Drosophila melanogaster: one gene and its partners. The gene in region 1 interacts genetically with each later gene. Each region holds a gene or a part of one and is shown in the gene's direction. Other genes may lie near its edges. The genes, in order: Bro, lz and run.

The links.
Region 2: of Bro (region 1) and lz, changing one suppresses a phenotype caused by changing the other (phenotypic suppression), as found in Drosophila melanogaster (one study listed by BioGRID).
Region 3: of Bro (region 1) and run, changing one suppresses a phenotype caused by changing the other (phenotypic suppression), as found in Drosophila melanogaster (one study listed by BioGRID).

The regions. Positions count from the first base shown.
Region 1 is NT_037436.4:1,639,625-1,649,122, forward strand, and holds Bro (brother), read left to right. Parts: upstream 1-8,244; 5' UTR 8,245-8,280; coding exon 8,281-8,922; 3' UTR 8,923-8,988; downstream 8,989-9,498. Other genes in the region: Bgb (Big brother), read left to right, coding at 371-1,012; alphaCOP (coat protein (coatomer) alpha), read right to left, coding at 1,573-4,331, 4,388-5,333; CG13919 (uncharacterized protein), read left to right, coding at 5,918-6,313; CG17249 (uncharacterized protein), read right to left, coding at 6,358-7,776. UniProt on the Drosophila melanogaster protein: Regulates the DNA-binding properties of Runt.
Region 2 is NC_004354.4:9,278,142-9,288,418, forward strand, and holds the start of lz (lozenge), read left to right. Parts: upstream 1-6,507; 5' UTR 6,508-6,595; intron 6,596-7,645; 5' UTR 7,646-7,779; coding exon 7,780-8,641; intron 8,642-10,190; coding exon 10,191-10,277. Other genes in the region: c11.1, read right to left, coding at 1-48, 111-756, 815-3,246, 3,310-3,487, 4,652-4,808. UniProt on the Drosophila melanogaster protein: Involved in prepatterning photoreceptor precursors in the developing eye; in the larval eye disk it defines a subset of cells as an equipotential group that is competent to respond to the sevenless developmental signal and another subset that confer proper photoreceptor identity by positively regulating the homeo box gene Bar.
Region 3 is NC_004354.4:20,684,816-20,695,092, forward strand, and holds the start of run (runt), read left to right. Parts: upstream 1-5,854; 5' UTR 5,855-6,197; intron 6,198-9,295; 5' UTR 9,296-9,877; coding exon 9,878-10,277. UniProt on the Drosophila melanogaster protein: Plays a pivotal role in regulating the expression of other pair-rule genes such as eve, ftz, and h.

The DNA.
Region 1 (9,498 bases):
TAAGAATAAGTTTTTGGTGCTCGTGCCGTGCTTTTGCTTCCATCGCTACGTTTTGACTTCTCCACTATTTCCCAGTGGCAACGCCGCGTCAGTTGGTATATCAAAACCGCAAACCAACCTTTTTGTTGTATTGTGCGTTGTTTTTTTCGACGGAGGCGAGAAATTTAAACAATTAGCATTCAGAGTGCTAAGATACAAGAGCTTATTGTGTATACGCAGAAGGCTCGTCGAAGGAGCGACCAAAAGAAACCCATCCAGGGTACCGAGTTCCAGGGATTATTGTGTGCACGCAGCGGTCTGCAGAAGCACCCATAGAAACATACCCTATTCAGCGTTCCATCGAGCGGACGAATCGCGAAAACCCGTTAAAATGATGAACGAGGCGGCACTTGCCAATATGATACCCTACGACACCATCGGATTGTATGAACAGCCAAAGCCGCGCTTCATCTTCAAGATGCCTCGTGTGGTCCCGGACCAGAAGTCCAAGTTCGAGAGCGACGAACTTTTCCGGAGGCTCAGTCGGGAGAGCGAGGTTCGGTACACGGGCTATCGGGAACGAAGCATCGAGGAGCGGCAGGTGCGCTTCATGAACGGATGTCGCGAAGGACACACGGAGGCCAGCTTCGTGGCATCGGGCACCAATCTGCAGCTGGTGTTCAACGCCAACCAGAACCCGTACCTGCACGACAAGGAGTGCGACTTTGACAAGGAGCACGGCAAGGTGCACATCAAGTCCTACTTTATCATGAACGGGGTTTGTGTCCGGTTCCGTGGATGGATAGACCTGGAACGACTGGACGGAGTTGGCTGTCTGGAGTATGACGAGCGGCGCGCCATGCACGAGGACGCCATTCTGCGGGATCAGATCGATCGCTACAACCAGCGACTGCGTGAGTTCGAGGACACTAAGCGCGCCTACCGTGACAATCGACAGGACGAGATGGAGGCAGTGCGACGGGGCGTGGCCTCCGGAGGCATTGGCGTTGGCGCCAGCATGTGGCGTCGTTAGTTGGACCTGTGGACGGCTCCTGGGCCGTCCCATCCGCAGCTGCCTCCCCAGCAGCAGCAGACGCATCACCAGCAGTTAGAGACTCAATTCGCGAATACTCAATATTTCATGGACAACTGAGAATGCTCCGAACCCCTTAAGAGGGCTTTCACTTGAGAGATTTCAATACGATTACGTTAGACACGCTCGAATAATTATGCTCCTAGATTAGTGTTAGATGTAATGCTTACTTTACGTATGCTTTTATGGTATTATACTTACAACTTAGTGTGAAATTAGTGTCGTATCTTTAACTAAAATACATAATTACTAATCTATATGGCATTGTTCATTTTGGAATTTCCACCTTTAAGCAGAGTGACTAAGACTCTTCACTGGGAATTGCCTACCGAGGCTAGGTATCGATCAAGAAAACAAGTCGTTTGGTTTGATTTTATAGCATTATAATATACAGATACTGAACTTTATACATAATAAGCAAGGATCGTGTAAAACTAAACTATGGGGTCTCGCTCGGCGTGTTGGAAACATTTATATTAAAAGCGACAAGCTAGTCCGTCCTAGCGGAATTGCAGGTTTGAAATGCGCAGGCCAATGCTATCCTTGCCGATCTGGCTCACTTCGCAAACTGTGCAGAGATTGCCCTTGAACTGAGGGTCGAAAGAGGAGGAGCAGAAGGGACAGGTCACTTCGGGTTTACCCCTATACAGTGGCTTCCAGCTGATGCCGCAGATTGTGAACGGATTAAACTCCTCGTACTGCAGCTGATGCTCGTCCACGGGATTTACCTCGCAGGCCTGCAGGATCTTGCGCACCTGCTGGGCAACGTCCGGTCGTGGCGCCAGTTCCAGGAGACGACGGGCAAATGAGGCGGCCGTCTTGTAGTTCTTCAGCTTGAAGAACATATTGAGGGCGGTACGCAGGGTGAGGATTTGGTGCACGGGCTGAAGCTTGCAGTGCGTGAAGTAGGCGGCCATCTCGCACAGACGCTTTTGCTCCTCAAGCGTCGACTTGGGCATGCCCTTGCGCACAGTCTCCATCTTCAGGCCAACGATATACTCAGCGCAGATCCTTAAGAGTTGCTGGGCCTCCGCCGCATCTAGCTTCGTGTCCACTACCAGCAGTGGGATGCTAATCAAGATGGAATGGAACTTCTCTACTGCCTCGGAGAACTTTCCAGAAGTTGTCAGTTGGTACCCAGCTTGCAGGCGTGCCACCAAATCATTCAGTTTAATGCCAACCGCAGGACGCTGCAGCTTGATGTTTGTCTCGGAGTAGTTGCGAAGTGGGTAACCACTTAGGGATTGCAGATTCGGATTGGCCGTGTAGCTCGTTCGAGAGCAGGCGTAGTTCTGCAGGAAGAGTGTCTTGAATGGCTGGAAATTGACCACTCCCAGCTGATCGTGCAGTAAACGGAAGGCGGTTTCGAATGATCCGGCCTTGACATGGTCCAGGACCAGAGGCGAGTTGTTGGCCCATTGTTGGGCAGGAGACAAGCCTTTGTTGGGAGCCGCATAGTAGTTGCTGTCGAGGGCTGAGGCCTTGATCTTGGAGGCCAGTTCCTCGGGCACAACCAGGTCATCATCGCCCACATCCCAGCCGGCACCCTCCTCTCCACCCGCACCACCATCGCCATCGTTGCTCAGCGCGTCGTGCATCTCGTCATCTCCGTCTTCATCTAGTCCCAAGTCGGCATCCGCTCCCCAACCATCTCCACCACCATTATGCTCGTCCAACAGTGCAGCATCGGCGTTGATGTTCAGCGCCTGTCGGGCAGTGGCACTGGAGCCAGCCCTGGTGACCATGGCGCCTTCAAAGAAGCCCTTGGACACGGACAGCAACGGCCAATTGGTTTCAAGCTGCTGGATGGGCACTGGTGGCTGCAACAACTGGGCATTGGGATTCACCTCGGGAAGGCTGTTACCCTGCGAGGTTATCGATTCGCCCAGGGACTCAGTGAGCTCATCGAATCCATGAGTAGCGGCTGTGAGATAAGCTAACGAAAGTTGTCCGCAGTTTTTGAGGATGTTTACCCGCTCCTTGACGTCACCGAGAAGGAGGGCACCCTGGTACTGGGCGGAAACATCCTTGCGAATCTCGGCAATCTTGTTCATCTTCTTGAGCTTCTCCAAGTTGCCGGTGATCAGGTAGAGGAAGCTAAGCTTGTCAAAGTTCTTGGTCCGCTGGTAGCACATCTCTACCACCTGGTGGTTTCCTTGGAGCAGCGCACTCTGTCCCAGGCGATCCCAGCAATCCTTGTCATCGAGAGCCTTGGCTGCTTCGAGAGCAATTTCGATGTTACCGCACTCCAGAGCGAGTCCAAATCGGGTTTTCTCATCCTTGACAAAATGCAGTGCCACCTCTGGATAACCCTTTTGCTGCAGGTAAGCAATGATGCTCTGACCCACTAGGCGGGCATTTCTCACCATATGCAGTACTTCATCGTACTTGCGTTGAATCAGGGCAAGCTTAAACTTGTACTCCGTAGGATCGATGTGGAGCACACGGGTGCGGCACTCCCGGTCCAAGCAGAACACTTGGTTGCCCTTGACGCGTGTCAGATAAATGGGTAGGTCCAGCGTACGGATGATGCCGTGGTCCCCGTTTGTAATGGCGTACTTAATGTGGTTGCTAGTGGTGTAGATAAACACTCCAGACTCGTCCCAGGCGCCAGACTTCACGCGGCAGTTCTCCTGCACGGTGCACAAGTACTGAAGTCTTCGGTCGCAGATTGTAACCGAGTGCTTGCAGAGTAGAGCGACCAAGGACATGTCCGGAGACCACACCACGTAGCGGCACTTGGCCAGTTTAATGCTTCCAACGGAGACTAGGCGCTGAACTTCGTACAGTGTGACAAACTCAGGGTCCCGAATGAGCAGCATTCCCGTACCGGCATAGAAGATCTCCTCGCAGAAAGTTGGCAACTTCTTGGTCACCTCATTCTTGAAGTTCTTGATCACCAACTGCTGGTTGCGATCAAGCACTGCAAACCGATTGCGTGCCACCCAGATGGCCGTGATTCCAGAGCTTCGCTTGCTGTCCGACTCACTTTGGCTCTCGGTGTCCTTGGGGATTTGGCAAAGATCGTAGGTGCTGTTCTCCAGGTTGTTGGTGCGCGTGCAGATTAGCACGGCGTTCAGTGCTGGGTTGTACGACATGCTGTACACCGGCGACTTGCCTGGTCGAAGCTGCATAACCACAGTGTCCTTAGTGGTGGTAAAGTCCAGTTTGCGAAGGAAACGTTCCTTGACGTAGTAGAGAATATTCCCGTGGACAGCATATGCAGGACGCTCTCGCTCCAGTTTAAAGACCACCATACCTGAAAGAATATGTATCATTACAAAAAATTCCTATTCCTAAAAGAAATCAACTAACCTCCATCGTGGCCAGCTGCAAACAGATTCAGGGTCGGATGCGCTGTAAGTATCCAGAAGCGCTCGTTGTCCCGCCGGAATGTAAAGAGGCACTGGCGCTTGGTCATGTCCCAGACGCGAATACTGCGATCTTCGCCGTTGGAGAGAATCAGGTCTTGCCTGGGATGGAACAACACGCTGGACACGTTGTTGTAGTGACCGCGACAGGTGTCGACCTCCCAAGCCTTGTACTCGTTCATGCGCCACAACTTCACAAGGCGATCATCGGCACCGGAGACAATCAGCGGCAGGGTGGGATGGAAACTGGCCCAGTTGACGCCACGGTCGTGGCCCTCGAGCACGTGCTTGACCACGGCATCTGCTTGGCCAAACAGATCAGTGGCACCCGGATGACCCTTTAGGTGGTCATCAAGCCCACCGGGCCCGGGAGCCACGTTCTTCTTACGCAGCCCCGAAATGTCCCACACGCGCACCGTCTGATCGAGTGAAGCAGAAACGATCTGATCCTCCGTGGGATGGAACTGGGCGCACATCACATAGTGGTTGTGGCCCGTCAGCACGCAGATGCAGTTGCGCGACTGCCAGTTCCAGATGCGTATGGTCTGATCGTCGGAGGCGCTCAGAATCCATGGGTATTCGTGGTGGAAAGCCACCGTGCGCACATAGTCCAAATGGGCCAGGAGGGTAAAAATGCATCGGCGTTGCTTGTAGTTCCACACCTTGATCTTGTAGTCGTCGCCGCCAGAGACGAAGAGCGGCATCTGCTGGTGGAAGGCCACGCCTCGCACCGGTCCGTCGTGCTCGTCGAACTTCTCGAGGAGCGTGTGCATCCGGTAGTCCCACAGCTGGATGACGCCGCTGTGCAAGCTGACCAGGATCCAGGGGCGCTTAGGGTGGAAGGAGAGGCCCTTCACCCTCGCCGACTTCGACTCGAAGTTGGTCAGCATGGTGGCACTTTTTCTGTTCTGCCTGTAGGTGTCTCAAATTGGATGCACTTCTAGGTGTCGGCTTATCCGTCAAGCGCCCTTTTTTTGCTGGTTCGAGCACTTGCCTGTATCAAAACATCAAGAGGTGGGTGTTAGAACAAACCCATTTTATTGATACGCTACAAGTAACACGTAATATACTGCCAACAATTAATTTTATGAAAAACACCAACCAATCGTCGAAATTGTGACACGTCAATTATCTTCTTCTTCGCGACCCAGTCAGTGTTGCCAGCGTTGGCAGATGTGCATACACTGGGAACCATAAGTTTTCAAAAGTACACACATGAATATGAATGAATTATCATGCTCTCCAGTCTTCTTTATATAGTTAAATATACAGATTTTACGTGATATTTTTGAATATATTTAATCTTCGTCAATAATATTCGAAAATTGAGTTGGTAAATGTATTTCTACGAACACTTTTAGTGACCACTGTAATCGTAGTTTTACAGCACTGGACAAAGTGCATTCTATTCACGGTAACTTCGCTTTGTTTATTTTCTGTAATACCATGGAAAATATATAAATAAGTGACAAAGATGACACTGGCACACCGGGCGCTCTTCACTTGGTTTATCGTCCTGGTCTTCCTGATTCTTCTGTGTCTCCGCCTGGACCCACGCACCACCTGGAATTGGTTCGTCACCTTTACGCCACTCTGGTTCTTCGATGTGATCATTATCATCTACGTGATCATTAAATTTATCCGCAAGTGGCGGAACCTAACCTGCCTGACGGATCTCCTGTTCCTCTACAAATGGAACATTGCCGGCGTCCTGCTGACCATCGCCTCCCAAGTGATGATCTGCCTAACGCTGGAGTACCCGCAACAGATTCCCATATACGTGACCGTTGCCCCGGTCATCCTGCTGCTGAGCACCGCCATCTTCTATGTTGGCAGCAGGCTGGGAAAACGAGAGGGCTGGATACAGTAATATTAAGCATATATTGTAGGATTAGGTGTACATAAAGTGAAAACTCAAAAGCCGTATTTGCTTTGGGTGGCCCGACGGGTCTGCCGGTTGGCCGACCACATGGCCTGCAGCTCGGCTTCGTTGGCCTTCGCCTTGTGCGCCAGGTAGGTGATCTGGTGCTTGCGCCGAGTCCCTGCCACCGGCTCCTCGTCCGTCAGCACGCCGGTCGGTTGGAAGGTGGTGGACGAAGCCAGAGCCGATCGCATCCATTCCTCGCGATCAGGTAGCACCTGAGACCCAGATATGTCGATCACCTGCATCTCCTTGGCCTCCTTCCGCCGGCGCTTGGCATTTTTGCCCACCAATGCGTCCATGGCCTCTGCGTTTAACTGTTGCTCATGGTAGCGCTTTTGTGCAATCTGAGACTGCTCTTCCTGAAGTCGGGCGGCTTCTGCTTCGGCTGCTTCCTTCTCGGCTACCTCCTCTAGGTACTTGCTACTGGCTTCCACCATCTTGGCCGCTCGCTTGGCCACTAGAGCGCTAATCTCGTTGCTGCTCACCTCAGGCAGCTTTTGCTCGGAATTCAGGGAGAAAAAGTCTCCAGTGCCATCTTCGTCATCATCTTCACTATCGCTGGCATTTACCAGCGAAGTGGGTTTACTTATAGGTTTGGATTTTGTTGACTTCAAAGCGTCTTTTGTCTCAGGATTCTTCTTGTGCCCGGCCTTAGGGCCATCTACGCCTTCGGTGTTGTGTGCAGCTCGTCGCTGCTTAACTGTATCGGGAACAAAAGCTGGTGCTGCTCGAGGCTGCGCAGGATTATTGCTTAGACTGGAAGCAAGAGTAGTGCTGGCTGATGGGTAGGCTACCGCGGATGAAGAGTTCTTGGAGAAGTTGCGCTCCGACTTTGCTTGGGGCAGCAGACTCAACAATCCCGATCCCTTGGGTACATTGGGCTTATCAACTTTGTTCTTAGCCCTGTCAGCTTTCTCCTGGTCTACATCTGAGAAATCTCTTAGTGAAGGAATGCTGATTTTTACTTTTCCCTTGACTGGCGGCGGTGGAGGTTTCTCTATTTCTACGGGCAGCGCCTTTTTGTGCAGAAACTCATCGTCTTTCTCCTCTACAATGGCTTTTCCTTTCGCTGCTGTTCGTGGCATGGGCAGGTTGGCAAAGGCGGAAGTAACCTGGTTGTCCACATCCTCATTTTCCAGATCCTTAGCGGGAGCAGTGACTTTTGGTTTGGGTAAGGCTAATAGCAGTCTTCCGTTGGGCGGCTTTAACTCCTGAAGGGACACTTCCTGGGGAACGTAGTCGTCATCTTCATCACTAATGTGACCACTGGTTGATTCCCGAGCTAGATACGCTTCACTTGGTGTGCTCGGCTTGGCTTGGGGTTTTATTACTTCCACTTGTGGTACAGAATTTTCCTCTTCGTTCTCCGAATCTTCATCAGAACTGGCAGCATAAGCAACAAGCGACATGTTTATAAAATTGCTAAAGTTAAACAATACAATACACAACAGCTGTTTAATGTGCCCGGACTCTAGAGTTGTCACCTGCTTGGGCTGCCATGGTTGGCAACTCCCTTTGCTTAAGCGCTGTGCTAACCAACACTGTTAAAATTACCGCTAAAACGTAATTTCGAATTTAAACTTAAAATTATATAGTGCGTTCAATTCGTTCGTTTTATTTATGATAGCATTATACCTGCAATCCTCAAAGTATAATATTCGGAGCTGTAAAAACCCTACGGATTATAAAACAAACCTCAAATAGGATACTTATAAGTGCTATACCTGATCCTTATTGTGTCCAGATGGTTTCCATCCTTGATTACCAGGCGACAATTAGGGGATTCGTTAGGTAGCCCAATCGCTCCCGATTACCTGTTCTACAACTTTTTTTTTTTGTTTAAATAAGGCGGTCAATTTTAACATTGATCAGTACAACTATATCTTTCGGAGAATACAGTTATAACATTAGACATGCATCATCACCAGAATCTCGGAGACGCGGCCGCCATGAATGGAATGATCCCGCCATACGAAGCCATGGCTATGTACGAGCAGCCCAAGCCCAGATTCATCTTCAAGATGCCCCGCGTGGTGCCTGACCAGAGGTCCAAGTTCGATAGCGACGAGCTCTTCCGCCGATTGAGTAGGGAGAGCGAGGTTCGCTACACAGGATACCGGGAACGTGCAATGGAGGAGCGCAGGATGCGGTTTGTCAACGACTGCCGCAAGGGCTATGCGGAGATATCGATGGTAGCTTCAGGAACTAATCTGCAGCTCTACTTCAACGCCAACCACAATCCGTACGCCCAGGAGCAGGATTGCGATTTCGAGCGGGAGCGGGGCAAAGTTCATTTGCGTTCTAGTTTCATCATGAACGGGGTGTGCGTCCGCTTCCGGGGCTGGGTGGATCTGGACCGACTGGATGGCGCTGCCTGCCTGGAGTTCGATGAACAACGAGCCCAGCAGGAGGATGCTCAGCTGCAGGAGCAGATTCAAAGCTACAACCAGCGCATGGCTGAGTCCAGGAGAATCTACCACACGCCCCAGACTCCACCCGAGGATCACCATCACAGAGGTGGGCCTGGTCTGCCTAGAGGACCAATGGGATGGTAGTGCTATATATTACCCTCATAGCTTTAAGTAACATCTAAGTAAATCAACAATAAATATCTGAAACCCATTGATCGTGCTCTTATAATACTGAGATTATGTTTAATACACTAATGGTAATATCTGCTCTCAATTACTAAAACTCTCATTTCACAAGGAGTTTCCGAGTTTTGTGTGTCATTCATTTGGCGAAAGCCACTCATGTTCACCTAATGATTGTTTATCTGGGCCTCCTTAAGGGTTGCTAGCCGGGGTCTTTGGCCTCATTTGCGCCACTTTCGGAACAACCACCACCCGAGCCGACTGCCCGAGGATGGTGAAGTGGGTCCAGCTGCCGTTCCGCCATTCCGCCGTGCTCTCCACTCTCCGGGGTGGGCCTGTCGCGGCTGTGGCTGCGGCTGTCCTCTCTTGACTCTCGATGCGGCCAGAGCACCGGTCCCGTGAGCACGTATTGATTTTCCGCCATTCCGTTTGGGATGCTGCCGAAATAAACTTTGCAACTGCTCTGAATGTGAATCTGAATCCGAATCCGAGTCAGTCTCTTTCCGAACTGAAAGCGGAAAGGCGTCGAGTGAAAAT
Region 2 (10,277 bases), on another chromosome or scaffold:
ATGGTGGAACTCTGCTCAGGATCACGCAGCGAATGAAGTAGAGTTTTGCTGTAAAGAAATTTAAACCGTACTAATCTAACCGATTTAATGTAGACCGTACTAATCCTTACCAGAACTGCAGGTACTGAAAGCTGGAGATACGCAGTGCAATAATCTTGGCAATGTCGCCGGCCAGATTGTAGATTTGCTTGGGCTCGTCGGTGATTATGTGCTCCTTGATGGTCTCGATCTCCTTCAGCCAGTCGGCAGTGCTGTCGATGCTGGCTATCGTCAGGGTTTCGTAGATACACGCGATCTCCAGCGTCTTCTGCAGGATCTCCACGGACACCTGCCGCACCGTGCCATTCGAATCGATGCACCTGGGCACAATCTTGCCCAGCATTTGACCAGTCTGATTGAACTTCGACGGGGCCTCGCAGCCAATTTTCATGGACTTGATGTAGACATCGAGGGTGTTGTTAAACACATGGCTGGCACAGATTCGCACCTCAGAGTTGCGATCCCTTGTCCAGCCCTCTAGAATGCCAATAATCAGATCCAGTGTGGCCGGCGAGGCGTCCAGTTCAACGATGGCCCTCACAAGCGCATTCAACTGCGGCAGCGATTCGTTGAGGTGCTTGGCCAGGAAGCTGTTGCGCTCATCCTCCTCCTGAGAGTCGAACTTCATCTTGAGCTGCTGGGCACAGCCGAAGAAGTTGCGGCACGCGATCTCGAAGATCACCCCGCCGTCCACACACTCCTCGGTATCGGGTCCACCTACAAATAGTGAAAGGATTAGGATAAGATTTACATTTAGTTAATAGAAATTCCTTACCTATGCGTATGAAGTCCGTGCCCAGTTTGAGAATGGTGGGCAGAAGGGGAAGGTCGTGGAACGGCGCCTCGATGGGGATGTTGAAGACCGTCTCCATGATCTGCTTGCGATGACGCAGAGGAGCCGGCAGCTGCTCCTTGGTGGCTATCAACTGGTTGCAGATGCTGAGCAGCGTCTGCAGGATCGCCGACATAATTGTTTGGTCCTTGTGCACGGCCAGCTGTTGGATGAGGAAGCCCAGCAATGTGTCATCTTCGTCCAGGTGTTGAATGGATTGCAACGGATCGGCTTCGTCCATGATGCGACCAAAAGCCTTGACCACGAGCAGGTTGCTCTTGTAGTTCTCTAGCTCCTTGTGCGTATCCTTGATAAAGTGCAGATTGCTAAAGAAACCGGTGGAGTGCTTTCGCCCACCGACTTGGGCCAGTTCGGTTAGCTTTTTGATCAGATGCCCCAAGTGTTGGCGGGAAATGTAGCCCAAGGCTCTGGCACAGGGTTCAATGCGCTTTTCGTAGTCCGCATGCTTAACGTGCTTGTCCAATCTTTCCTGCCTGGCAGTCGTCACAATGAGATCGATCTTGGTGTGGATGCAGGCCACATCGGTCACCTGAAGCAGGGTGAGGGCCACCGCCTGCAGGAGCATGCCTCGCTCGGCGCTAAGGTCAGGCAAATGCCACTCGGAGTGGGGCAGTTGCATGGGATACAAGTACATCTGGTCCGCCAGCTTACTGGCCAGCCGCTGGGCAAAGTTCTCATCCAATCCGCCCAGAAATTCATTCGTTTCAAGCACAAAATCGTGGAGTAGCTGGCGATAGGCACTCTCCCTGTTGATTTGCAGCAGAAGATCGGGAATTTTTCGCTCCCACAGCTCCTCCAGGGCGGGATTCACCTGAGGATGGTAGTAGCGCAGAAAACTGAGAATATTCGAGCATCGTTTAATGCACTGCTGATTGCCCAGGAGTGCCAGACATCTTGCGTAAATCGTCTCGGCTCCAGGGACCATAACCTTTCCGCGCTTGATCACACTGCGATCCTCGCCAGCAGCGCCCATACTCTCCGGTGTGGCTTGCTCCGTGGCGGCATCGTCTCCCGCAATATCGTACTCTATGTGCGGAGATTTGGCAAACAAACTAGCCAGGCACTTGGCGAGATTCCCGCAAATATCCGTGTAGTCCAGTAGGATCAAGTAGTTCAGCAGCTCCCTCTTGAGCAGCTCATCCAAGGTGCCCACCGTAGAGGCCAGCATGTACAGGGTGTTCTCACAGCTCAGCACCAAATTGGCGTGCTCCTCCTGGCTGCCGTGCTCCTGACTTGGCTTTGAGAATCGGCAACTATGCCGCACCACGAACCACACAAACTCCTTGTCCCGGATGTGGGACTTTTGGGCGAGAGCCACAATGGTTTTTAGCAGCGTTAGCTTCATTTTGATCCCTCTTTCGCTGAGGATCAGTTGCTTTAGGCACTCAATGGTGGCTGGAATCCGGTTTTCTATATTCCCTGCACAGGAGTTGAGTAGGTGCGTGAGTATCAGCAGGGACTTCATCCTCTCGCGTTCGCTATTGTTCCGCAGGTGGATCAGCAGGGTGTCCATAATGCGCGTGGAGTAGGGTTGATGACCGGCCAGAAGGTGGAAGCAACGCAGCACCTCGTAGTGACCCTTCACCGTCTGCGGTTTCTCATAGTCCGGATAAACGCAGACCAGGTCGAACAAATGGGTGACCAACACGTCAATTATGCCATCCAAGACTGTGGCATTTAGTGCCAGATTCGTTTTCAACACGGAGCAGAGGAACTGCGTCACGGCATTCCTGTCCACGCTGCGTCGATAGAGCGCCAGGATCTGGGGAACCAATCGGGCGGCCTGATCCTGAATCCGGTCTTTGGGCAGCAGTGGATACATGCTGGACAGGGCCTGCAGTATCTCCACGCAAACCTTTGGCTCCCGGGAGTGCAGCCATTGATTGAAGAGCACATCGTAGGCCACACTGATCTCCGTGGAGCAGTTCTCCTCCTCCTTTTTGCCGCTCTCCTCCAGTAGAGCCTCACTGAATCTACCGATGGCATAGGCATGTGCCTGCTTGATGTGATCCTGGCGTATCCCGACTAGATGCGGCTGACTACGGCTCAATATGGCCTTTATGTGGGGCACAACCCCTGCCGGATTCTCAGTGGCCAGCAGACCGAGGCACTGCATCAGCATAAAGTGAGCCACACCTTCTGTACTTGTTCCCTTCTCCTGGAGCGCCTCCATTACCTGCTCACAACTCTCTGGGCTGCTCCGTCCGATGGCTACCAGGATGCGCTGGGCGGGATTCTGTATGAGTGGCAAATGCTCGGGATTCTTGGTGAGCTCCTGCAGCGCAAGATCAATAAGTTTCTGATTTGCAGCCGGCGGCAGAGGAGTTTCCGCTCCCACCACGCGACGAATGCAGCTGAAATATAGAAAGGTAGGGATTAGAACAGCTTTTAATTGCTGATGTCAAAGGGAAACCTACTCCAACAACATGGCCACTGTTTGATCGGTCATCTTCGGCTGCTGCGATCGATGTTCGCTGAGGATCTCCGCAGCCCGTTCCGGATGGGTCTCCAAGATCTTCACGATCGCCTGCTGCATGGCAATCCGCACCTGCTCCTCCTTGTCCATCAGCCCATCGAAGATGTTGTGGAGAACGCCTGCAAAAGGGCAACAAATGTTTTAAATTTGATTTCTTAAATCAGATCATATGGAATATAATCCAAAATTTAGTTGGCTTGTGTTAAGTCAAAGCTAAGATATCGTTTAAAACAAATGACTAATTTCAGCTAGAGCTAGCAAATAGCAGAACAATGGACTACACTCAGTAACACGAGTAACTAGATCAAAGTCAAGTTAACACTACATAGAGCCGTATTTACATAAGGTGCACAAACTGCAAAGATAGCAGAAGTGGCAAAAACCACATTGATTCACGGATTTAAATGGATGATAGGTTGATTTCGAATTAAATTATATGAGCCATTTTACAACATTGAAAAATGCATACCCCTATTTCATTGAACACAACTGTGGGCACTTTCAGTACTTATATTCTGATAAGAATTCAAATTGTCTGACGCATTCGCATAAATTAAAGAGCTTCACATCATATAAGCATCTATCAATAAAATGAAAAAGGCTAGAAAATGGCAAAAACCAAACGAAATGCTGGAATCAGCTGATTGGGATGGTCAAAAATACACGTCATCCCAGAGATACAAAAGTCCAATTGGACTGGACAAGCGATACTCTAGAGGACTTTTCGCATTGCAATGTTATTTTTGTTCTTATTCCAACAATTAGCTGTAAAACAAAAAAAAACACACACTTACGCATGCAGATGATTAATCAAATCGAATTGAGTGCAATTTGTGGGTGTAATTGTGAAATGTTGTTGTATTGATTTGTCTTGCTCATAAACGTGTTCTAGATGATTTTTTAGGGCTTCACACACTCAACAGGTCCCCATAATACACACGTACATAGATACGAAAATAGAGTTATTTAGCTGCTCTCCTTTCGCTAAAAGGATTCCCCGTTACTTTTGGGCGCTCATGTGTGCGTTGTGCCTAATGCGTAGTTCTATTTTTAGAACAGGACAAAAGACTGCGCTTCGCCTAATCACAAATCCCAATTGGAGTGGGTGGGGTGGACGGGCAAAACGCCCATTTCACGCTAAATCGCTCTCAGCACTTGTGCTTGTGTGTGTGTGCGCTTTCTAATAAAAGATTCCATGGGTCCATCTTTATCTTTATCTTTATCTATGGGATTAGGCAGTGTTCCCTTTGTTTTCATTTTCATTTGCATTTTCGTTTGCTTACCTTCCAGAATCGTTGGCTTATCATTGGGCGCCGCTGTGGCGGTAGATGCATCGGCATTTCCAGTGGCGGCGCTATTTCCAGCAGCTGATTTGTTGTTGGCGGATCCTCCCCCTGTGGCAGCACCACTACCACCGCCGCCAACCCCTCGGCCGTCCATCTTCTTGGTGGAATTGCGCGTTCTCTTCCACTTCTCCAGCTTAACGGGATTTCAGACAGCGATTAACTTTAACGCGCACTTCGCGATCGCGGAAAAACTCGGAAAAACAAGAGATTCACTGCGTTGCGAAATTGTTTGTGTTTAAAACGGGTGGCTGCACTCACATAGGGGAAAAACGGCTGTGGAAATTTTAGTACGTTTTTTATCAACACCATGGACTAGTTGGGCTTCCGAACATGGTGTGTGCCCTCACTGTTCAGTGGTGGCGCAAACCATAGATGACCATAAAAATGAAATTCAAATGTACTGTGTATAAAATAATAGTTATGCATACAGTCTCGTTTTATTATACGGAATTAGCAATTAAGTAAATTTTAAATTTTAAGCTACACAGGCAGTACAGCATACTAATACAATATTAAAGGAAAAAACGCTTTTGAGGTAGTTTTGAAAGTATTTGAGAGCAATTGAAATGCTTAATTTTAATCACTTGATAGCACTTCTGAAATTAAATAGCATAGACATTTGATTTTCTCGCAATTTCTGCCCTCGCAGATAAGCTGACGTTCTTCTCACGCTATTATATTCCCAGCGATAAGAACTATTTCCCTTCGATGTGATAAGTCGGAGGTAAATTTAAAATAAACACTTTTTAAAATCATAAGAACTCTGCGTTGTTATTTTAATTCGATATCAGTATTTCGACCACAAACCAAGGCTGAACCACAAAATATGGCCCAATGATAGTCTCTTATCACGCCTTTCCTTCGCTAAAAAGAACACATGTCATTTGGAATCCTTGTTTTCTTTGCGCTAGCAACAACACACAGTTTTTAATTAACACTTTTTGCGATAATAGCAGATTTGATAAGCATGTTAAGTATCAGTTTTAAAGTAGATTCTCTGATTTTCATCTCTAATATCCAAAATGTATCTATATGAATACAATTTTCCATAAGTGCGTTTTAAATACATGTATGTTAAATTTTAAATAAAATAATAAAAAAAAAAACACAACTTATTTATTTTCTCATGAAAATCTAATCATATCCAGCTCCTAAATATTTTCGAAATTTCCCGGCTGAACAAGAGCGCCGCTCTTAAGTCGTCACGCTCTCAGCTGATTAAAGAGAGCGCGCTTAAATGCGATTCCAATTGGAAGTGGTTGCAGCCGGTGGTGGATGAAAATGTGTCCACCAATGGCGCGCCTCAAATGCCATGTCCACCTGACCAATCAGAATCCGGGGGCGGTGCCAAGTGCAAGGGAAACGCAGGAGCGAGCGAGAGGGAGAGCAACTGTTTATTTGATTAAGCATTTAAATTCTATTATTTTTAGCGAAATTTATTAAAAATTTGATGCAACAGCACTGCGTGGAATGGTGACTTGTCACAATGCACATACTAGGCCATGCATTTACAGAAGAGCAAGAGAGAGAGAGAGAGAGAGAGAGCGAGCAACTTAAGAGACCCAAAACGCCCCGGCCAAAGAGAGTCGTTCTCGTTCCAATTGGCTCGCGAGGCAAGTGGAAAAACGATTGGATTCGACTCAGAGCCGAGCTCAATCGTCTCGCGAAATTCAAGCGGCGCAGTCAAAAGTTAAAAGTCAGTTTCAGTTATGTTTTGGAGTACGACGCGCGAGCATTATTGTTTCCATTGTTAGCGAAGTTTTTAATCGACTGAAAGAAACACAAGAAAATAACACCTCGCTTACGTGTTAACCCTTTTTTTTTGTAACTTGTGCTTAAGTCACTTAAAGAAATACCGAAGAAAGTAAACTAAGTGTGTGTGTAAGTGTTAAACAAAGTAGTAAACAAAAAGCGCGCCAAAATCGGCTAACTTTTAGTTATTAACTCGAATTTCGTCACCAACTAAATTTAAACAAAAGAGCGACACAGTTTCGCCAGAAACTTGCATTCAAACATATTGTTAAACAGTTTTACATTAAACTAAACACAAACCAAAGTGCTATTAAGTGCAGTTAGTAACAAAATAAAAGTGATAAATGGTGACACAAACGAATTAAGGCAATGTTTTTATGACAAAAACTTAAGTTCATATTTTTTAAGGCTTTATTTTGCGACTGTGAAATAATTTGTTTACTTTGTTGCTTGTTCTCAAACAAATAATATACAATAGTAATTGTAAAAGCTTCTTATACATTGTTTGAATAAACAAATAACTGACTCTTTTACAACCATTTATGATTACTTGGGAGATCAGTTGTGAACATTAAATGTTTATATTGTACTATATTGTTTTTACACCGATTCCCAGAAATATCATCAAAGTTAAACTCGAGAAAAGGAGGCCCGTCTGCGAATCGGGAGTCAAACATAGAGTATTACTAATTAGCCGAGTGAAGTGCAAACAATAAAAATATCCAAATCAAACGAAATCAAATTTAATTAAGTTCAGAAATCATCTGGCAAAAGCATGCTCAAAAAAGAGAAAGAAAAAACAACAATAGCAACAAATGCACCGCTAATTCCTGTGACTAATTTATCAAAGTGCGAACTAGCAAAATGTCGATCGTCGTAGTACTCGCAGTTATTTAATATGTATTCAGAAAGGCAAACATATTTTTAATCATTTTTTAAATTTATATATATTGTTTTTTGCAATTATTTCTTTATTTAAACGTACGCCAGTGAACTGTTTCTATATGTACTTTAATTAAATTGCTTAATATGAAACAAATTTGAGATGTTGTCATGGATTGTTTTTAATGAATCGATCGGCATTTTAAGTTTTCAATTAAACACGAATCTTTCTCATATCGTAAGTGCAATTGCAAACAATTGTTAAGTACGCTTTTTTTTTTCTGTGAATTCGTTTAGAGATTAGAGTTTATTGATGAGTGAACAAAAGACACCGCCGGAGCGAAGTGTGATAAGCGCTTGACCTGCGACCCGCACACACTGCAAGAAAAAAAGGGGCAAGCGAGCGGATCAAAGGTCACCGCCGTCGACGAATGCATTTGCATCTCCTGGCGGCAGAGAAGACGCCTCCATCTCCATCTCCAAATCCAACTCCAACTCCATCAGCATCTCCATCTGGGCATACGGGCGCTGCTGGGGAGTCGCAATTGGACTTGGCATCGCAAACGGAATCGCAATTGCAGCTGGGCTTGCCATTGGCTTCCGGATACGGACTCGGACTCGGATTGGGACTGGGCTTGGGATTGGGACTGGGCCAGGAATTGGTGGCGGACCACAGCACCACTGTGGCGCCCGTCAGCGTTGCCGGTCCCGGCCGCCTGGGTCGCAGCATCAACGGCAGCGGCGGCAGCCACCACCATCACCACCTGCACCACCACTACTCACCGTACCACCACGCCCACCCCTACCACCCACCGCATCCGCACGCGCCCCACCACCACCACCACCACCACCCACCGTATCCGTATCCGCCGGCAGGACCACATCCGCCGGCCATGGTCACATCGTCATCCACATCGCCGACGGGCAACGGCTGGAGCAGCTCCACCGGCGACTTCAAGGGCATCACAGCGGTGGCGACGGCCACTGGCGGCGGCGTAGGTGGTGCCACCCAGGGCGCCACTGCATCCACGGGCGCCACAGCCGCTGAGGTTTTGGCCGTTTCGAGTAGTGCCAGTGTTGGCAGCAGCTCGCCCACAGGTGGCGCCAGCAATGGTACAGCCCATAGTGGGCATAGTGGACACACCGGCGGTCACAGCAGTAGTACCGCCAGCAACAACAACAACAACGGTGCCAGCAATAGCAATAGCAACAATAACAACGCCGTTCACCAGGATCTATTGTGGATGGAGCGATTGGTACAGAAGCGACAACAGGAACATCCCGGCGAATTGGGTGAGTTGTTGGTGGGATATTACCAATAACCTAGTAGTAACACAGTCTGCAAAAGGGTTAAGGATTAATAGCTACCTTAATGTCCTTCAAAATCAAAGTGAATATGAAGATATAGTCTAACTGGATTTGTAATTTCCCGTGAACAAAATTGATTGAACAGAGGGATTTAGCTTACTAACTGTAAATAGCAAATTCTTTGCTACCAGATTCCCAATATGATCTATGGTTCTTGATATAATATATCTTATGAATATAAGATTGATAGATAGATATATATATCAAGGCAAGCCTCTGCGGAGACAGCTCTTCCATTCACAAGGTATCAGCATCTTTAGCTCGTGTCGAGGGGATCTGGTGGATGCTTTGCAGGTCTGTTCGATAATCCGATCCCCGAAAGGTGGAGCGCACATTCTTGCCACATCCTTGCACAATGCACTTCTGGGGCTTCCACATCGTGGCAATCACGATCATCGGACGCAGCCTTATCGGATTCCATGGGTATGATGATCGTGATGATGATACCGATGGCGATGATGATGGTGATGCCAGTGAAGATGGGACTGGCATCGCCGTCGGAATATGCGTAAATTGATATCAATAATTGTTATTGATATCAACGCACGAGTCGTTCCCCTTTTTTATTTTGTTAATGCCACCTTTTTTTTTTTTTTCTTATTCCTTGCTGCCCGTTGAACTTTCCTCCCGATTTATCAATGATATCAATGACCCAGAGCGAAAGCTGCTAATGAAATCTCAGCTCATCGCACCGTCAGTCTTGAAATTAGCTGGGGAATCCGCAAACTGGTTATCCTATATGATTTTTTTTTTCACTTCTGAGTCCTTTCATAACTTGTGCTCAATGGATAGCCTTCATATCGAATTGCAACTATCAGGACTTTACACTCTTGTCTTAAAGTAATATTTATATTCCATTCCATTTGAGTTAGTATCGTACCTATGGGATTCAATCAGGATCTGGATGTGCCTAGTCTATTACAATTTATTATTACACAGTTTGGTTTTCAGGGCAGCGCACATTTGATTCCTGACACCTATGTAAAACATGATTTCCAAACCTACAGCGGTGTGACAAATTAAATTTAATGATTATCAGCAATTAGATGTCCATATTTCGGTCTATTTTGCGCGCCAGTCGCGAGTAAATAAATCATTTATTCAGCCAGCCCAGCTCTCCACACTTTGCTCTACTTTCGACACCAGGTCAACAGTCAAACGTCATCTGATAACCGATAACCCCTTCCGGTCCGGTCCGTTCGTTCCGTTCCGTTTGACATCTCCCCGCTCATTAATTAATTATGCACCGCCGGATGGCGAGTCGATGGTCGAAGGACCCAGTATCCAGCATCCTGCATCCAGTGTTCAGTATCCACGATGATTGATATTTATGGACCGACACGAAACTATAAATAATTGAATATTTTTGATGGCCGTGAAAATGTGATTTTAATCAGCGAACCCTTGGCTAATTAAAACCAAACTGATTTATCCTGATTTTTTTTTTTTTTTACCCACTTTCTTCATTTTCCAGTGCGCACGAGCAATCCGTACTTCCTGTGCTCCGCCCTGCCCGCCCATTGGCGCTCCAACAAGACGCTGCCGATGGCCTTCAAGGTCG
Region 3 (10,277 bases), on another chromosome or scaffold:
TCCCACCTCATTTTTTTTATGGTGTACGAAAAAATCGCGACATGTTGGCAATAAACAGCAGGTGCCGCTGGCAGGGATACTGAACAAAAAATAAAAATACAAATGCAAATAAAAAAAAAAACACAAAGGTATGGCAATTTCGCTGTGTCTGCTCCAGTTTCTGACCAGTTTTTAGTGTTCTATTTTTTTGGTCGAGCAGCATAAGTTCTTTATATTGTTTTTTTTCTATTTTTGGAAATTTTTATGAGGTCAGTCGAGGGGCGAGAGCCGTTCAGGGATCAATCCATCATAAAGAGGCACTATGCACCACCCGCCTCAATTAGTTCGAATCTTCGGCTCCCTCCAATCTTTTTAGGGCGAAAAAAATTCGGAAATCCTCGACGACAGGATTTTTATTGCTCGAAAAACATGCAAAAAAGTAGGACATCGACGCAGCAGGACGCCCGAGGGTCCTTTATGGCTGCTCTCGTTTTACGCTTCTTAGGTAATTTTTGGGCCAATTTCATGGGCCCATGAATGAAGCAGCGCAAAAAGAGAAGAAGGCCCACGGCCAGCACACAAAAAATTCCTTCTAAGAGGCGCAGAAAAAAATGCAAATTATTACGCAAGTCCTGCGGCTTCTGGGAATTTCGCCATTTGTAGGTCAGCTCAGCAGATTTATGAGGTCCTCGCTGAGGACCTGATCTAGATCTAAATAATTTTTATGATTCTTTTTTAACAAGCCGGCCATAAAGCAGAACAGAGGGCGAGCAGGAAAAAACTGTAGCAAAGTTGAGAATTCCTGCTCTGCTTTTCCGCATAATTGCTGCACAGGATCCCTCGTCCTTCGCTGGAAGTGATCCGCGCCTTTGTTGGTCCATAGAAAAAACGATGGCCTCACAAAAAACTGCACTAAAAATTGGTCAAAAAACTGGAGCAAGCATTTTATGGATGCGGCCCATTGTCCTTTGGCTTTGGCTTTTTAGCCACAATTTCGATCGTCCTTTGTCCACACTGATCGTCTTTTTTTTTCGCCCAGTGTCCTTCTTTCTATTTTCTGCGGTTGAGGTGTAAAAAAGTCGAGCAGTTTGTTTGAGGGTCGGTGAATTACCTTAGAAGTTCAATGGGAAAGTAATTAAAGGTTCATTGCTTTATTGGTACAACATCTTGTAAAGATGCATAACGATAAGTAGTTCATATACTCGTAAGCCAGATATATTTGGATGTACATACTAAATAATATAATTGGGGTAAAACGGGTTCTATTGAAATATTTAAATGTAAATATTAAATATCCGTTTGCATTGGGTTACCTTTATTAATTAAACGGCTACATTAATAGGAATACAAGTATTTGCACTGTAGCTTAAGCTTAAGTTAACTACTCTACACACCGATGATACCATTCTTGAGTCTACATAGTATTACAAATTGAATTACAAATTAAGCCATTTTTGTCCATCATTGCCCCTTTGTGTACCATGTGTACATCGATTATAGACATCCTGATTTTTCGCCATAACTCTACGTTGTCATTCGTGTATACATATGTATGTATGTACATATGATTGTATTTCAGACCTCCATTGTTTGCCATTCGATTTAATGTGCGTATTTAAATCGAGACGCGAGTTAATCAAGCATTTTTGGTCAAGTTAATATTTTTTTAGCGGTTTACTCCATTGACAAACTTTTGACCCACTCGCTTCCTATCATGCCCTCTCATTCCCACTCGATATCCCCATCTCTTTCGGTGTTGACCAATAACCAACCACGGTTAACCAGACAAAAGGCCACAAAAATGCCACGAAAATCCCAAACTAAAATTGCACACAAACAACAGAACGGCAAACAAATGGCTTAACCCCACAGTGCCGGGCAGGCCAAGCCCCAAGAGAGAGAGACAGCGATATAGGAGAGTGACAGAGACGGGGAGAAGAGAGAGCGTAAAAAACTGCGCAAGCTGGGCATAAAAATTCAAGGCAATTATGCATACAAGTTGACAACTTCCAGTGAGAGGGGCTGCAAGTGTGATATGGGGTGCCGGGGCTTAACCCCCCAAAACATTGCTCAAAAATACTATAGCCTACGTTTTATACAACTAATGTAAGTTATGGTTTACATTTTCTATTCGATAATAAGTCATATTTGTATATATGTTCTTATTAACTAAGATTAGTGACAAGTTTTAGTTTAGTTTTAGATTCAATTTTGCACATGAATGCCAAAAACATTTTACCAAAAGTAAGTAGTGTTCTTCGTTAGCGATTCGATCTAAAACGTATATTCAAATTTTGGTTTTTGTTTTCGGTGCACCCAAGTGTCAATAATGGCGCTGAGAACTCTTTAATGTCGAGCGTTGCTTCCTCCTCGGTTTTATTTTTTAACCTCACATCCCTGGCTCTGTTCCCGTCTCTCTTGCACCCGTTAACCCGTCTCTTTCCTGCGCGGAGATGCTTGAAAAGTTACGACGACTTTGGCCAGAAATACAAACCAGCAAACCGCGTTTTGATTTGCAACCCTTGGCGGGCTAAGACGGTCGACCAGAGGAAAAACCAGAAAAGTGGGTGGAAAATATGGTTTAACCCCCGCCCCGTTCGCCCACTCGTGCCATCTCGCTCTGTTCGCCCAAGCACCAAAGGGCTAAAGGACCGAAGGCCGAAGGACCTCTCTCTCTCTCTGGCAAAGCCAAAGCCAAACTAGTTTTGTGGCCGCAGCTGCCGCCGCCCTTAACCCCCGCGCGCCACCAGTGCCGGCGGAAGACCACCCCTTTAACCCACTCGGTGTCTGGCTTTTCGGGGTGGAAAGGAAAAGGAAATGCCAAGCGAACGGGGCAAGCAAAAAAAGAAAAAAAGAAATACAAAATTGAAACATGAAACGTGCGGCGGACAGGAGCGTTTTCCAAGACGCGCTCTCCGTTTTTCCAGCCAGATAGAGACGGGACGTGCCAAACGGACAGAGAGAGCAATACAAGCTTGGTAAAAAAGAGTTGTCATGGAGCCGCGAACGAGCAGGGGCGTCCTTTTTCTGGGGTTTAAGGCAACTTAACCCAAGACCTAAATAAAACTGGTTAAGTTTTGTAAGAATTACGAAAATAAAGAAATATTTATGTACATATATGCATATTTGAAACACCTTTCGAAATAAATAAGTTCTTTTAAATAAAATGAATTTTTAATTCATCATTAGCCAACTTATTAACTAACGATATGTAAAACGATTCAATATGCAAAGCCCCTTCTGTAGTCTAAGCCACTGCTGAAAAAGGGAGCAAAACACAATGCAGCTGGAAAAAGTGGGGAAAATGGCAGGAAAATGCAAAAAATGTGGAAAAAATCAAGGAAAAGCCGGGGACGAAGGCTCACCAGAGGAGCCAAGTCTCCCTCCGACCATTCAAGCCGACCGATGCCACGCGATACCCTACAACCGAATGGCGCGGCATATGCCACTTCAAAATGGCCGCCAATTATGCGAAATACCCAGCCGGAGTGCGTTTTTTACATATCAAATGGGAACAGATCTAAAAACTGGTTCCTGGCTTCCTGCCCGCTATCCAAAAGGGGTCGCAATCGCATTAAGGACGCACTCCTCGGGCGGACTTAACGGATTTCCAGCTCTAATCTGCACATTGTCTGCCCATCGGAAGTTCGAGGGCATGTGTGTGTGCGGAGCGTGCTGGCTGTATATAGCCGCGATTTCGATATATCTAAGTATGTACAATATATACCCATTTACAAAGCCAAAAGTTGCAGTTCAGAAGTTAGCGCCGGGGAGGCATGGGAAAGCGGGTTTCATAATAACAAAAGGGGGTGGGGAGGCATTATAAAATGGAGGATCGGTTGGTGGGAAAACGTATTTAATCGAGGACAGATCGACCTTCTGCAGAGGGCGGCCGATGCGTTGAGAGCTAACCCGTTTTAGGCATTTCAAAATTCAGTTTTGTACTCAAAACAAAAATAAACAGAATAAAGAAATGATCCCCTATCAACACTTTCAGTAAATTTAAAATAGGAAAAAACAGGCAGGTCTCGAATGAAAAACCATAAATCACATGATTCGTATTGATGGAAAACTTACTATAAATATCAAAAGATAATATAAAACGATGCCGATGATCACGAAAAGTGTCCTTTGATCAAAAACAGCCCAAAACATAACCGAAGAACCTTTGTTGTGCCAACAAATGTAAACAACTTGCACACTCCTCCGACTTTTCTTTACTGTTTCCCGTTTTTTCGGGAGTTTTTTGTAAACAATTTGTAGGGGACATGTGTAACAATCGCCAGAGATCATTAGGATTTCAACGCCGATCGGACAGCTGCATATTTTCCCCCACCAATTTTCGCCTCTTCCATTTTCCCTTGGCTAATTGTCGCGGGCCCAAAAGAAAGTCCATTCAAAATGGTTACGGATCGTTCCTGCCAAAAATCCATTGTTCTTAAGTAAATAGAGAGGGGCCAAGTCAACGAAAACTGAGGAAATATATATGTATGTGCACACAAGGAGCACAAATGATCGCTGAAAAATCCATGACATGTGTCCCAAGCAATCCAAGGATCCTGGGATTCGGCCAAGATGGAGTAGCGCACACGGGCCAAAGAACAGCTGGCAGTCGGAAAAGTGTGTGGAAAACGGTGGAAAGCCAGCCAATGCATGGCCACCTAACCAAAACACAATTTTGTGGGAGTGTCGCAAAGGCAAAGAATAAAAAAAAAAAGAAAACCAAAAAAAAAAAAAAAAGGAAAAGGTAAAAAGAAAAACAGAAGGAAACCCGAAACACACTCATTCCCCGTTTTTCACCACACGAAAGAAAATAAAAAACACCCCCAGAACGCAGAAAAAAAATCACTCAAACAAGCGTTTTCCAATGGAAAGTGGTGAACCGGCTGTGGTGTAATTTTTTCCGAGGGTTGAATGACGTCGCCAGCGGGGGAGGGGGATGGGGAGGAGCGGTCGGAAGCCGCTGCCGACGTCGCTGCCGACGTCGCTGCCGGCAGCACTGCCAGCGCCACAACCAAAACAACAAACCACAATTCACTTACACAACGCCGCAGCCGCAGTCGCAGTCGGTCCGCTGCCGCCGCGCTGCCCGCTTTTCCGCTTTTCCACTGCTGCCTTTTGTAAATAAAGAAGAATGCGCAAATTGGCGGCACAAATTGTTAAATACACTTTTCAGTATATTTTCAAATATATTCATAACGAAATAATAAGTTTGTTTTCCCTAAAAAAAAAAAACAAAACATTTATGCACGTTTTATAATACTTTACAAATATTTGTTGAATAAATTGATTATTGTATTTATTATAAACGCTTTTGAGCTATTAAAAGATATTTAATTTTTTACTACAAAATATGTTTCATGCTTAAATTAAATAATTTAAATTGAATTTCAGTTTCACTTTATACAGATGCTTAGTTAAAACAGTTTTTCGTCGTTATAATCGTTTCAAAAACGCATCAATATTGTTATTGTTCACTTGTCATTTGAAATAGTTAAACTAACCAAACACCGAAGGGTACAAAAATGTTCCTCGATTGGCAGTCGCTTTTGTTTTTTATTCTCCTGTGGCAGTGAGCATTTCCCCTGCGCCACTGGAATTTCCACGGTGCCAGAGTTTTCCGCTCTCTGTCGGTAATTTTTGTTGGGGGTTCTGGGGTTCTCCGTGGTCAATGGCTCCTGGCTCCTGGGATCCCTGTGCATTCAGTATAGCCTGGATAACGGTTGTGCGAGGAGCTCCATGAGGAGAGGCGGAGCCACGATCGGCGCAGCCGTCTCGTTCTCTCCCATAACGATCGCCCTACTAATAAATCATCCCCTCTTGGATGTCAGCTATTTCCGTAGCATCTGCTCGCCAACGGTTGGCCGATCTCTGCGGTTACCCCAGCCCCTCGAGCGTAGGTGCCTCTCTTTCGTTCGCCTGGTGCCGTCTCTTTCTGCGAGGGGGAGGGATCTTGCGCACGTATATGAATAATTCAACTGATCGCCGTGGTGATTGGGGGATGAACGGAGTACTGGTTTGTCCGTTCCTCGGAGGTGCGGAATGCACAGATCGTAGTTCTGATACCCATTCATTTCGAGGAAATTTATTCAGGAACGTCACGGTATTTGCATAAGTGAAATCGTATCTCACAGTTAGCAGCCTGTATCGTAGATTGATTACTAAAATACTTTTCTAAATAATCTGCACTAAGATATAGTTCAGATTGCGTAAGATCGGTAAGTACAGAAGCTTTTAATCGCACTGGAAGTTTTATTTACCGCTCACGACATTTGCATAGATGAAACCGTATCTTACAGATTCAAGTAGCTTGCGTACTAAACTACTGTACAAAAAATATCTGCACTAAGAAATAGTCGGGAGTGATTTTTTATGGTGAAGTACAGAAGTAAATTCAGCTAATTAAGCCTCGCTCTTTTTTGTTTTAAATTAACTGCTCAACAGCAGTGAGAAAAACATTGCATATATTGAGTACATGAATACAGGTTACTGTCGCCTTAATCTCCCATCGGTTAATCCCGCTAAAAAGCGAAGTCCTTTGAGTTTTTGGTGGCCAGGTAGGCACTTTCCGTATCAGATGCTCGTTGCTTATTTTTTGGGAACATATTTTATGGCCCGTGGCGGCGGCTAATCGGCCAAAATATTTGCGGGGCGTGCTGCTTAATCCGGGCGATTGACTTTCATAAGCAAAGGATTAAGATTGCGCGGTTGGACTACCTGTTTTGAGGTGCGATATCAGTACATGCGATGGTACATCTGAGGGCCAGGTACGTCAAAGCCAGTAAACCCATAGTTTTCCCACTTTTTTGGGGCCGCAAAAAAGCATCGGAGGGCCCATAAAAAAAGGGTTGATCCTTTTGGCTGCTGTGGGCTCGTAGCGAGTTCGGTATGGAGATCAGGTACTGCCTGGTGCTCGGTGATCCCTATGAGGCGGTCCTGCGGGTCCTGCGATGCGCGTGCTGCGGCAGCTCCTGTCGCAAATTGCCAAGGAATCGCAGCAGGATCCAAGAAGCGACGACAGGAGCGCTGATTTCCCGGGAAACCGGCAATCGTCAATCGGCCATCGGCAATCGCGTCCTTGTCGCACGCCCGCTAAACCTGCGCTGTCCTGCCATATATCCCGGGGCTATATGGTGTGAAATCGGTGTAGGGACACGAGGTCCTTCGCAGCGAGCGGCCGCGCACGTACAAAAGGCAGCGCTGCCGATACACTGGATTTACTGGAAGTGTGCGTCTATAATGTCCAGCTGAGAGCGGCGCGTTCTCGCGACATTTTGGTTGGTCTTGCCTCGTAGTTCCCCTACCAGAATGGCCATGCTCCCCATTCCTTCTCCTCCTCCTCCACGCGGTGCCTGGAAGAGTCCGCCACCTCGGAAAACTCGCGGGTCCTGTGTGGCCTCGTTTTTAAGGTTGTTTTGGTGGGCCGCAATTTTTTGGCCAGTCAGGCACTTGATTTGCGTTCCACTGCACGAAATGAGTGTTGAAGGAATTGAGAATATTACTTTAAATTGTCAAGTCAAGTGTCAAGTGTTATTCAGCAGCTCTTAAGAATTAATACACAGTTAATCCATTTTACATTAAGTTAATTAAATCGTTCATATTTCGTTTTTGAAGCTAAGTTTCGTAATCTGAATTACTATCTATGTATGTGCTAATCACTTAGCCAATCGCTAAGCAAAATGTACAAATCTTAAAACCTAAGTAAACGTAGATTAGTTTGAAGAGAGTTCAATGTAGGCAGCCAAAGATACTCGATGTTCTTCCAAGTATGACACTTCCGCATCAGATTAAATCCGATCAGCTAGCTAAACCTGATCCAATCAAGGATCGGCGATCGCAGGCAGCGAAAATGGAAATGAAATCGAGCCGGATTGCGCCACACGAACTGAGAGGCGCACAAATATTTACAGGACTAATCGCAGGATAATCGCCCGATCAGCATTAGGATTAAGTTCGATCCCCGGAGAGATCGATGGCACTGCATCTTAGATAGTACTGGAAGTGGACCGGACCTGACAATGGGTGTTAGTTGGACAGATTCAGATCGGAGATTGCAGATCAGTTGATCGAGTTCCGAGTTCCGAGATCGGCGATAAAGTAAATTTTGGGCGGAATCGAGAAAAACATTGAGCAACACTGAGGGATCAGTGTGCCGTAATATGATCAGCCGGGGATTTCTGATTATTTTGAATGAAACACTAATTTTTGGGACATTTTCGAACAATGGGACGCACTGTTATGCACGTGTATATGTTTATTAATTAGATCTGATCTTAAATTACTTAACTTAACTTATTTGAAATGAAATTATATGGATAACGTTGATGCATATTCAAAAAAAAAAAAATTAACACTGGAAATGATTAGTTTTTTGAACAGATTATTAAAACGATTTGTAGCACTAATAATGATGTATTTAAAATATCGTGCTTATGTTGATATATATATTATATATATATATATATATATATTATTATATTTATTATATTTTTTTCGGCATCTTCATCTTAATCGATAAGATACCTTCGAAAGCAATTAAATATATGATAATAAATACAAATATAAAGGAAAATATAATTCATCTTATGATAGTATGGGATAGTGTGTACTATATGTACTATAGATTATTATCATAATTGAAAATCCCATGTTCCAAAATTTTCCAAACTCCACAATCGTATCACCCATGAAATTAAAAGGCTTAAATCCTTTTATCCCAAAGTCATAGTGATATAGCTCTCCTGATGCTTGTGATAATATTTATGATAATTTCGCAACCTGATCCCTCCTCGCACTGACTAATTGAGTCCTCATGTCCTGTCGGCAGGACGCCCCTGGCATCCTAGCTACTCGGGAAAGGGAAGGCAAGGGAACGAGAAGGAGATGGTGAAGGGAACCCCCCGTTTGGCCATGGGTGCCTACCTGTACCACCCGCCCCCGCCCCCCTCGACGAACCCCTCCGCAGGAGGGCCGCCAAAACACGCGCGCCGCTGGAAGTGGAAAATGGGAAACTGTTGCACGGCCGTTTTTCTTTTGGCGTGCGTGGCGAAAAAATAAAATTCAAAGCGAAGAAAAGGAAAACGCACACAATTTCCAGACCGCCCGTGGGGAAAAGCGAGAGAGGAAGCGAGAGCCAGAGCGAGAGAGTGGAAAAGTCTCGGTGTATTTCTTTTTTGAGTTTTTCTTTGGTGCAATTTCCAGGCCATCACTCTCTCTCTCTCTTTCTCGCTCTCGCCCATGCGATTTTCCTTTTTTCCGCTGTTATTTTTTCCTTTTTGGCCACAAGTAACAAGCGACTTCTCTCTCACGTACACAGGCACACTAACACGACAGCCAAACACACACACACACACAAACACACAGAGAGACCGCAATGGAAAAATGGGAAATTTTTTGCTGTGGTTGTTGTTGCGGCGGCAATGGTGGTTGCTCGATATACCGATATATACCTGCCCCGGCACCCTTAAAGGCGCGCCTGTGTGCGTAGGTAGCCAACCACACCACCATACCGCCCAGGATAATGGGCGGGAAAGAGACGGCGCTAGCGCCGTGCAAGTGGGACGGGGCACAAACGCCGGCAGAGCCGTCGACAGAGGCGGCGAGCAGCGCATTCCACTTTAAATACTGCCAACGATCGCAGCAGAGAATCAGTTCACTCAGCGACTTTAGCGTGTCGAGAACGCACAGAGAAATATATCGTTTTCGACTTTGGAAAACAGAAACAGGCTCGAAAGAAGCAGAGTTCGAAATCGCGAAACAATCCAATAACAACAAACAAACGAATTTTTTCCAAGTGACCCCCGATAAAGTGAAGTGCATACCGAGAATCCGCAATAGAAAACCGGCAATTGTCGACAGCCCCAGGATTACGGCTACGATTTCCACATTCGGATACGAGATGCATCTGCCAGCGGGTCCAACGATGGTGGCCAACAACACACAGGTCCTGGCCGCTGCCGCCGCCGCAGCAGCCGCCGCAGCGGCCGCGGTAGCCCAGGGTCCTGGGCCGCAGCAGAGTAGCAATGCCACCACCGCCTCCGCAATCGCCATCAATCCCGCCCAGAGTCTGGCCAACACGAGCACCCACTCGGCCAGCAGCACGGGCAGCTCCACACCAGATCTCAGCACGAACAACACCAGCTCGAGCAGCAACGCCACCACCAGTCCGCAGAACTCCGCCAAGATGCCCAGCTCGATGACCGACATGTTCGCCAGCCTGCACGAGATGCTGCAGGAGTATCACGGCGAGCTGGCCCAGACCGGATCGCCCTCGATCCTCTGCAGCGCCCTGCCCAATC